2 linked regions of the Drosophila melanogaster genome follow. The protein of the gene in region 1 interacts with the protein of each later gene in a pairwise test. Each region holds a gene or a part of one and is shown in the gene's direction. Other genes may lie near its edges.

Evidence for each region. Proteins that work in one complex are often made in the same cells at the same time.
Region 2: the proteins of CG3225 (region 1) and eEF1beta interact in a two-hybrid assay, tested with the Drosophila melanogaster proteins (one large-scale study listed by BioGRID).

The regions. Positions count from the first base shown.
Region 1 is NT_033779.5:4,814,516-4,820,623, reverse strand, and holds CG3225 (uncharacterized protein), read left to right. Parts: upstream 1-2,378; 5' UTR 2,379-2,457; coding exon 2,458-2,586; intron 2,587-2,650; coding exon 2,651-2,742; exon of another isoform or gene 2,743-2,808; coding exon 2,809-2,902; intron 2,903-2,960; coding exon 2,961-4,682; 3' UTR 4,683-4,708; intron 4,709-4,732; exon of another isoform or gene 4,733-4,766; 3' UTR 4,767-4,841; coding exon of another isoform or gene 4,842-4,944; 3' UTR 4,945-5,000; downstream 5,001-6,108. Other genes in the region: CG15629 (uncharacterized protein), read right to left, coding at 4,842-4,944, 5,001-5,601, 5,737-5,854.
Region 2 is NT_033778.4:16,866,566-16,869,780, forward strand, and holds eEF1beta (eukaryotic translation elongation factor 1 beta), read left to right. Parts: upstream 1-1,656; 5' UTR 1,657-1,746; coding exon 1,747-1,826; intron 1,827-1,925; coding exon 1,926-2,514; 3' UTR 2,515-2,715; downstream 2,716-3,215. Other genes in the region: Psi (P-element somatic inhibitor), read right to left, coding at 1-681, 761-832; CG6426 (uncharacterized protein), read left to right, coding at 2,956-3,037. UniProt on the Drosophila melanogaster protein: EF-1-beta and EF-1-delta stimulate the exchange of GDP bound to EF-1-alpha to GTP.

The DNA.
Region 1 (6,108 bases):
CAGTTTTTGGAGCACGTGTCACCAAAGCCGGTCGCTCTCTTTCCACCTTTCACTCTCTCTCTGTCTCTCTCCCTCCAGCTCTCAGGACACAGGCGGCCTGTTGTTTTTGTTTACGCCGCTCAGCTGTGAGGACCTCAAAATCCTTGTTGCCGAAAAAATCCATTTTAATCGCCGCCGTTTGGAGTGATATGCCATCCGAAATCCGGCCAACTTGACCGGAAAGCCATACGGGCGGCCCAAGGTCGCGTGTGCAATTGACATTTTTATTGACATTAAGTGGTGCAGGGACTAGTTTCGGTTTCAGTAGTTCCAGTAATTAAAGCGGATGAAGACGCGCCAAAAAACAACGCCCGGAGTGCTAGGACTCCAAAATGCACTGTGCGAAATTGAAAGCTGATATGGGATATCCTAACTACGATGAAAAATTGGGATGCAAAGGTAAGCAGAAGATAACCTTACTTTTCCATATTAATTTCCAATTAAGCGTCACCATTTTTTTTCGTGTGCACTTTGTGTGTGCTGCATTTGAGTTGCGACTTTGCCGCCCTGCCACATGCATCATGAATCACGCAAATTCGCGGCACGCAAAGACAATGACGCCAGCCCCTTTTCGCACCACTCGCTGGGTGTCGAGGACGCACAACTCCGGCGTTTGTAATCAGGGTCGTCAACGCGAAACTATAGTTATAATACGTAGATAGAACAAAAGGAACGTACCCTCCACTGGCATTTCCAAGGAAACTTTGCTCGTAAAAGCCGGAATAACAGTTAGCATTCATGCCGCCCTTTAAGTTTTGTGGCATTTAGTCAGGTGCCCAAAGACGGGGGAATCGGAATTTGGATACCGGCAGTGGAGTGCCGACAGCCGTTTGACAGTAAAACTCTGGCCTTGGGCGCATCTATTAAAATTTATATGCAACCGAAACTGGAACTGGACGCCAAACGGACAAGATACACACTGTGCGAAAATGTGACAGCCTCCCATAACCCGCAATGTAACTAAATATTCACTTAACTACTATTAAGTGGGATAGAAGGCAAATGAAATGACTAATCCATATGCACAGCGGAAATTATTATATTTTAGTATTTGCAATTTAAGATGTAGTACTAAATACTGAAGCATCGTTCTTAACACTTTTCGAAACTATAATCTTTCTCATGTAGCGAAGATACCTCTTTACCTGTGATGCTGATATCAGCTTGAGTGGAAAGTGAAAACATTTTTTCTCAGTGCCTTTTAGTTGAAGCACTTTCCGCGGACGGCGGTGTTGACAAACTGCTCGCAGAGTTTTTGGCTTTCGCTTGGCTTTGGCGACTTGGCGCCTCGTCCTTGGCATGAAGTTCGCCGCTGGCCTTTAATTAGCTTTTCTCGGATTACTCATACGCCATGGGGGCTGGGCTCGGGTCGAGTGGAGTGGAGTGGAGCTGGGCTCCATTGTTTCAGCACTGGCATGCGGATGTGGTTGGTCAAACGTGCATGTCGGGCACGTGTTTTGCTTTGGCTTGAAATTGGTGGTTGGGTTCGGATCGCATCGGATGGGGTTAAAGTTAAAGCGAGCGTTCTTAATGTCAGGGTCAATGCAGAATACGGGGGTCCTGCATGTGTGGAATCGACGGCCATCTTACTCGTCCCAATATTGGCGGCATGCATATAATACCCACTGACGGTGCATAAATCAAAATATATACAAAAAAAAAAATACAAGCGGGCAAAACAATGTGTGTGTTTTGTTGCTCGAGAGATACAATACAATATTTATTCAAAAGCAATTGGCCGGGCGCTTCTGTCGCCGACAGCTGCACAAAACTCGGGGGACACTTTTGACACACACACGTGGCCAGGGCGACCTTATAGTACATAATGAGTTTGCTGGGTATGCAGAGGAGCAAAGTGGCCTTGCCACTGGCAATTAGAGTTATTTTCACTAGCAATAGGGGACATGTCGGTGCTGCAACGTGCCCGCAAAATGGACAAAAACATGTGCATGAATAATACAGGTGAATGTTATGGACATTTGCCACCATTGGGGCTCGTGAAATGGTCGACTAAATCAAATATATTATAATTTGTGGGTACCAAAGGTATAAGCTTGAGGTACTAGCCAAACAATTTCTAAAAACTAATATTTTGCATTTTTAAATCTTAACTAAAATATAGTGAAATTTGATTATCCTCTTTTCTTATAGACCTCAACTAGGCGACTGTATACTTAGTGATTAAGTAAATACTTAGGTTTTTGGGCAATTCAACTTATTATATAGTTGATGGTTATCGTTAATCGAAATTTCAATACAATGCAATTTCCCGCCAAATAAAAGTGTGACCATTAGTTTATATTAAACGAAATTCCTAACATTCTTTTGCGCGCTTTGGTATTTTGCACCAATGCATTGAGTCCATCAGCTGTTTATTTAATTTCAAAACTGAATCTATAACGAAGTAAATAATTGAAAATGAGCACTTTTAAGCCAAAGTTCCTAAAACCCGAGACGGACGATGCAATCACAGATAGTGCCGGTGGTGAACAGCAGTCCTCCGCCTTTGTATTCAATGTCAATCACAATATGGGACTCATGGAGCAGGTGGGCTTACAAAATATTTCGTAAACATTTGCTAGAATAACAAATTAAACTTAAATTATTACAGAGGGAACGTTTGCCCATTCGTCAGTACCGGGATCAAATACTTTACTGCTTGGAAAAGCATCAAGTGGTCATACTAGTGGGTGAAACAGGCAGGTTTGTATGGAATTCCATGAGCTTCAAAGTAATGCTTCTAACTCTGTGGTTTTTCATATTTCCCAGTGGCAAGAGCACCCAGGTGCCACAGTATTTGTATGAATGGGGCTGGCACACCAAGGGACTCATTGGCATCACCGAACCACGACGCGTTTCCACCGTAAGTAATCCTAAAGCAAAGCAACTATAAAATCTAAAACTAAAGACTTCATTTCCAGGTTACGCTGGCTAATCGCGTGGCACAGGAACGCGGCGAACTGGTAGGTGACACGGTGGGCTATGTAGTTCGCTTCCTGGAAAGCATGAGCTCCTGTACCAAAATCAAGTTCATGACCGAGGGCATCTTGCTGAGGGAAGTCCTAGCCGATCCGCTGCTCACCCAATATGGTGTTATCATCGTGGACGAGGCGCACGAGCGGAATATGCTCACCGACATGATTTTGGGACTGCTCAAGAAGATCCTTCGCAAACGCAGCTCGCTCAAGCTCATCATTTCATCGGCCACCATAGATGCAAGCTTCTTCAGCGAGTTCTTCAGCTGGCCAGGATCGGGCGAAGTGAGCGTTAAGCTAAGCATTGAAGGTCGCATGCATCCTGTGAGTAATTTCTATCTGAACGAACCCTGCGCCGATTATGTGAAGGAAACTGTGGAGACCGTCTGGAAACTGCATCAAAAGGAGCCGCCTGGCGACATTTTGGCCTTCCTAACTGGCCAGGAGGAAGTCCTGGAGGCGCTGGATCTTCTGCGCGAATACATCGCCAGTTCGGAACAGGAGAATCTCAAGGTGCTGCCCATGTATGGTAGTATGTCGAGCACTGATCAGTTGTCGGTATTCTTTACCCCGCCCAAAGGAACCCGCAAAGTGGTGCTGGCCACGAATATAGCAGAGACCTCCATCACCATTCCGGGCATTGTTTATGTGATAGACTGCGGCTACGTCAAGGTAAAATGGTACAATCCCAAAACCTGCAGTGACAGTTTGGTTATAGTGCCCGTCAGCAAGGCGTCGGCCATCCAGAGAGCAGGACGAGCGGGTCGTATGCGTCCCGGCAAGGTCTATCGTTTGTACACTAAATCAGACTATGAAGCACTAGCTCCTCGGCAGCCACCCGAAATGCGACGCAGCGAATTGAGCGGCGCTATCTTGCAGTTAAAGGCGCTGGGCATCGGGAACATATTGCGCTTTGATTTCCCATCGCCACCACCGGCACAGAATCTACTTTCCGCACTGGAGAGTCTATTTGCCTTGGACGCCATCGATGAGCAGGGCAATCTGACGAAGCCCGTGGGTTACCTGTTGGCCGAACTCCCCTTCAGCGCTATGCTCTCCAAAATGCTCTATGTTTCCGGTCAGATGGGCTGCTCCGAGGAGATCATAACCATCATTGCGTTGCTGCAGGTGCAGTCTATATTTTCGCGCCCAGCTTCAGCGGTTGCCCAACAAAGTGGACGCATTGCACATCGAAAATTCGAAGTTGCGGAAGGGGACTTTATTACGATGTTGAACGCTTACACTGGCTTCGTGGAGGAGGGCATGACCAAGGAGTTCTGTGGCCAATACTTCCTCATCTACAGGAATCTTAAGAGGGCCCACTCGCTGAGGGAGCAACTCATCACAGTGGCCAGAAAGAAGTACGGCATTCCAATCTTCTCGTGCAAGGGCGATGTGGAAAAGTTGTGCAAGTGCATCACCGCCGGCTTCTTCACACAGGTGGCCTATCTGCATCACTCTGGAGTTTATAGACAAATCAGCAGCGGCACTGAACTGGCCATTCATCCGAACTCCACTCTCTACACACTTCCTCAAGCTCAGTACGTGGTCTATGGGGAACTGCTCCAAACGACGAAATTGTTCATGAACTACGTGACCGTAATCAAGAGAGAGTGGCTGACGGAGCTGGCGCCGCATTATTACCAACAGACCACAGTGCGGGATTAGCAGGAACTAAAGCCTTAATGATAGGTGTAAGTCTATTAAAATAGTTCATTAAATCAAATAACTAAGTTTATTGTAAAATTATAGGTGAAACGATGCCGCCTCTTGAAAAAGAACTTAAGCTTAGGTAATGGATTCCATATGATGATTCCTATTGTGTGTTTAACCAGCGGCGACGCGCCCTCGTCCCTGAAACATCATCATAGACTCGGGTCCACGGATGACACGCGACATCAGCTCCCAGCACATTTTGGCGGGCAAAAGACTGAGAAAACCAGCATTAATTACATTGTATATAACTATGTTAAATAGACTACTTACCATTTGAGAGGAGTGAGCAGGCGAATAGAGTTGGGCAGCACGCACCACACCTCGTTGCAGCGCACGGCGTTCTCGATGCGATCCGCCACATACTGCGGCTCCAGCATGGGCATCATCCGCGGCCGAACACCCGAAAACATGCCCGTGTTGATGTAGTACGGGCAGATCAAACTCATTTGGATTTGATCATAGCCATGGGCCTTCAGATCGGTGAGCAAACTCTCGTGGAAACCGATGCAGGCGTATTTGGTGGCCGCGTAGTCACTGCATCCGTAGGTGCCCAGCATTCCAGTTACCGAGCCCACAGTAACGATATGACCACGATTATTGCGCATCATGTGAGGCAGAAACGCTTTCACGGTCCAGTAGTGCGATATGATGTTAATGTTGTACGTGTTCTGGATGACCCGATCGTGCAGCTCCCAGAAGGGTTTGCAGCACACGATACCGGCATTGTTAATCAATATGTCGACGGGACCAACCTCCTCGGTCACCTGGCTGGCACGCTGGTAGATCTGCTCCCGATCTGAGATGTCCACAACGTAGCCCTTGCAGTTGTCATAACCATGTTTGGCCAACAAATCCACAGTTGTCTTTATGGCTGTGCGGAAAATTATGATCAAATATTGTTTAGCTAATCAAATTGTAAATGTAACAGCTTTCACTAGCCGTCGGGTTTTTTGACCCGCCTGGCAGAAGCTGTGACGGCGTCATTAGCAACTAGGTGTGATTTTACCTTCTTGATTTATATCCCAGATGACAATGCGGGCCTGAAGGCGAGCAAAGTTTAGGGCAATCAAACGTCCAACACCACCGCCTCCTCCTGTGATGAGCACCACCTGGCCGGAGATGTCCTGTTATGGATAATAATGAACAAGCAATCGTTTATTATAATATTGAATTTCGCATACATACATATGTAAGCAAACCTATTTAGCATACGAAAAAGGTGCGACAGACTGGTAATAGTGCATGTGGAATGACTTTTGCATAATTTAAGCTTAAGTTTGTTACTTTGGCCAACGAATGTCTTGCCACATATGCTTGAATCATAATATAAAACAGATGTTGCAAGACTGTCACCAGCTTTTACAACAAAGTTCAATCA
Region 2 (3,215 bases), on another chromosome or scaffold:
TCCGTCCTGGATGATGATCATTTTGGCTCCGGTCTTCTCCTGCAGCTGTTTAATGGTATCGCCGCCCTTGCCAATGACCAAGCCCACCTTGGCGCCCGGAATCATGATCTCCTGGTAAGGTGGATACCCGCTAGGTCCCGGTGGCGGCATATTGATCGTCAACAGCACCTCCACCTGTCCCCCGCCAGCCCGATTGGCCATGTTCTGAATCATTTCGCGCCCCTTAGTGACTGTATCCCTTTGACCACGCAACATGATAACGCGATCTTGATCCTGCATGACCTGCACTTTTACACCGGACTCGGCCTGGATGTGGGTGATGGTGTCGTTACTGGAGCGACCCATAAAGGCGCCGGCTACCGATTCGGGCAGACGGATCTGCTCCTCACAGCTTGTTCCCGCCGAGGCGGCCAAACGAGCGGCTACCGCAGCAGCCTGGGCGATTGCCTGAGTAATACTGGCACCGCCGGGACCTCCGCCGCCGCCACCACCACCCCCGCTACCGCTGCTCATGTTGGAGCTGTTGTTGGCGTACTCCGGACTGCCCAAGGAGCGTTTGGATTCCGGACCGCTGTCGCCGTCGTCGTTGATACGCTTAAAGCCAGGCCCTCCACCCGAAGACGGTGGCGATGGACCCGCTGTGCCGCCGCCCTGCTGGCTGGGCTGGATCTTGGCTGCGATCTGGTTTGGGGATTGGGGCAAAAGAAGCCGAATCAATGCCCACTTCCGCTTCTTCCTCTTCCAAGTGGTGGGAACTCACCTGCTTGGCACGCTGAATTGCCTGCGCGAGTGCCTGCGATTGATTGATGCCTTGTTGCTGGAAGTCGCTCATAGTTCTGGGTTTATAATAGGTTCAATTCGGTTCTTTATGGTTACCACTTGTTTTTTTTTTGTTCTGTTTGACCGCACGCGTTGAAAATTCAATAGCCGAAAGCGACGATTTTTTCACAAATGCTGAGGAAATACTATAAACGCTTCCTATGGCATTTGTTTAAGTGGCTTTCGAATGTCTACTCTGCCTTATTGTTGAGCCGTTTTTTTCATGCGCTTCTACGTTTTTTTTTTTAATTTTTCTTTCGGCTTTTCAGTGAAAATTATGCGTTTGCAAAAAAATTGTGTAGCATTATAGCTTGATTGGAGGCGTTTTTTCACCCTCATGATTTTCACTGCAACGGTAACACTGCGCATAAGATATTCACGGTTTTAGTCCGCGCTTTTGGTATATTTGTGTTAAATTAAATATTCAATGACTTATATGAATTTATTTGAAAGTAAAGGATCTACTTAAACTTAATTTCTATTAAGCCCAAGCTCCCAATTTGTGTGAATTTGCCCAAGGAAATGCATATTGTTTTCACAAGTTACAAAGTAGAAGCATACAATTTCTATACAATTTTTTTCCTTTTCAGAATATTAAATGTAATTGTTTGGCCTTAAATTTACGTAGCCAATAGCTAGCTTAAGTATAAGGTATTAATTATAATCCTTATGTTTTATTAAAAAAAATACAAGTAAGCGTTAAAAATCTATTTGAATGTATGGTATATTTGAACGATATTTACTCAAACTCCGGGTCACCCTGTGTTGCAACTACTTGAAATACTAGGAAAAAGTCAGTATTTTCATTATATGTTTAAAGACCGTTTCCCGCGAAGGTCACTCTGTTCTTCTTTCGTCGGCAACGTTGCGCAGAGCACGGCTCCAGATTTGTTAAACGCGAATTTACCCCACAAAAACGCATTTAAAATGGCATTCGGTGATGTGACCACCCCGCAGGGACTGAAGGAGTTGAACGCCTTCCTGGCCGACAACAGCTACATCAGCGGGTAAGCACGCGTCATTAAATGTGAGGTTATGTACGACCTCACCACGTCGGCAGATGTATTGATCGAATAATTTTCTACCCATTACTATACTCCCATTAGATATACTCCCAGCAAGGCCGATCTGTCCGTGTTCGATGCTCTGGGCAAGGCCCCCTCTGCCGACAATGTGAACGTGGCCCGCTGGTACCGCCACATCGCCTCCTTTGAGGCCGCTGAGCGTGCCGCTTGGTCGGGTACTCCTCTGCCCCAGTTGGCCGGTGGAAAGCCCACAGTGGCTGCTGCTGCCAAGCCCGCCGCCGACGATGACGACGATGTGGATCTATTCGGATCCGACGACGAGGAGGACGAGGAGGCCGAGCGCATCAAGCAGGAGCGAGTTGCCGCTTACGCCGCCAAGAAGTCTAAGAAACCCGCCCTCATTGCCAAGTCGTCGGTGCTCCTCGATGTCAAGCCCTGGGATGACGAGACCGACATGAAGGAGATGGAGAACAATGTCCGCACCATCGAAATGGACGGTCTGCTGTGGGGCGCCTCCAAACTGGTCCCAGTCGGCTATGGCATCAACAAGTTGCAGATCATGTGCGTCATCGAGGACGACAAGGTGTCCATCGATTTGCTGCAGGAGAAGATCGAGGAGTTCGAGGACTTTGTTCAGTCTGTCGACATTGCTGCCTTCAACAAGATCTAAACATCTGAGATTCTTATATTAACAATAAACTTGAGCAAAGCGAACTAAGCAAATATAGTTGTCTTCATATTTAAATAAAATATTTCACATGAAAGCTGCAATAAGCCAATCATAATTCAGATTGTAAAAACACATCAGTTTTATTGGAATAATGATTGAAATTTTGTAATTTTCACCAAAAAGTATACTTTTATAATCGGTAAAAATCTCTAATCTCTTTAGTTGGCTTGCTGGCTCTCTCAAGTTCTCAGCTTAAGTCTTCCGTTTTGAAGCTTTCGGCGAGCTTTTGTCAACAAAAAAGCGAAGCTCGTAGCACTTTCAGCTCAGTTGATCGGGCAGCTCGATAGAGGTCGGTTGTTTACAGATAGTTGTGATACTGTTCAGTGACTTTTCAAATTGCATTTGCAAACAAATATTTTTCGGACACAAGTACTGCTTATAATGGCTGCCAACAAATTGTGCTGCACTTTGGCTATTGGCGCTCTTTTGTGTCTGGGATTCGCAGCCCTCATTCAAGCTCAGGGTGAGTTAAATACATCGAAAACTATATATTTACATTATATAGGCGAGAACATTTCCGTTCTTGTTATTGTTCGCGAGACGTATTTGTTACGCATTTGCTGAGATTTGCTTTTAACACGAAATATACAAATACCTGATCGTCTGCATTCATTAACATTAATTAGCAATTGTATAGATAT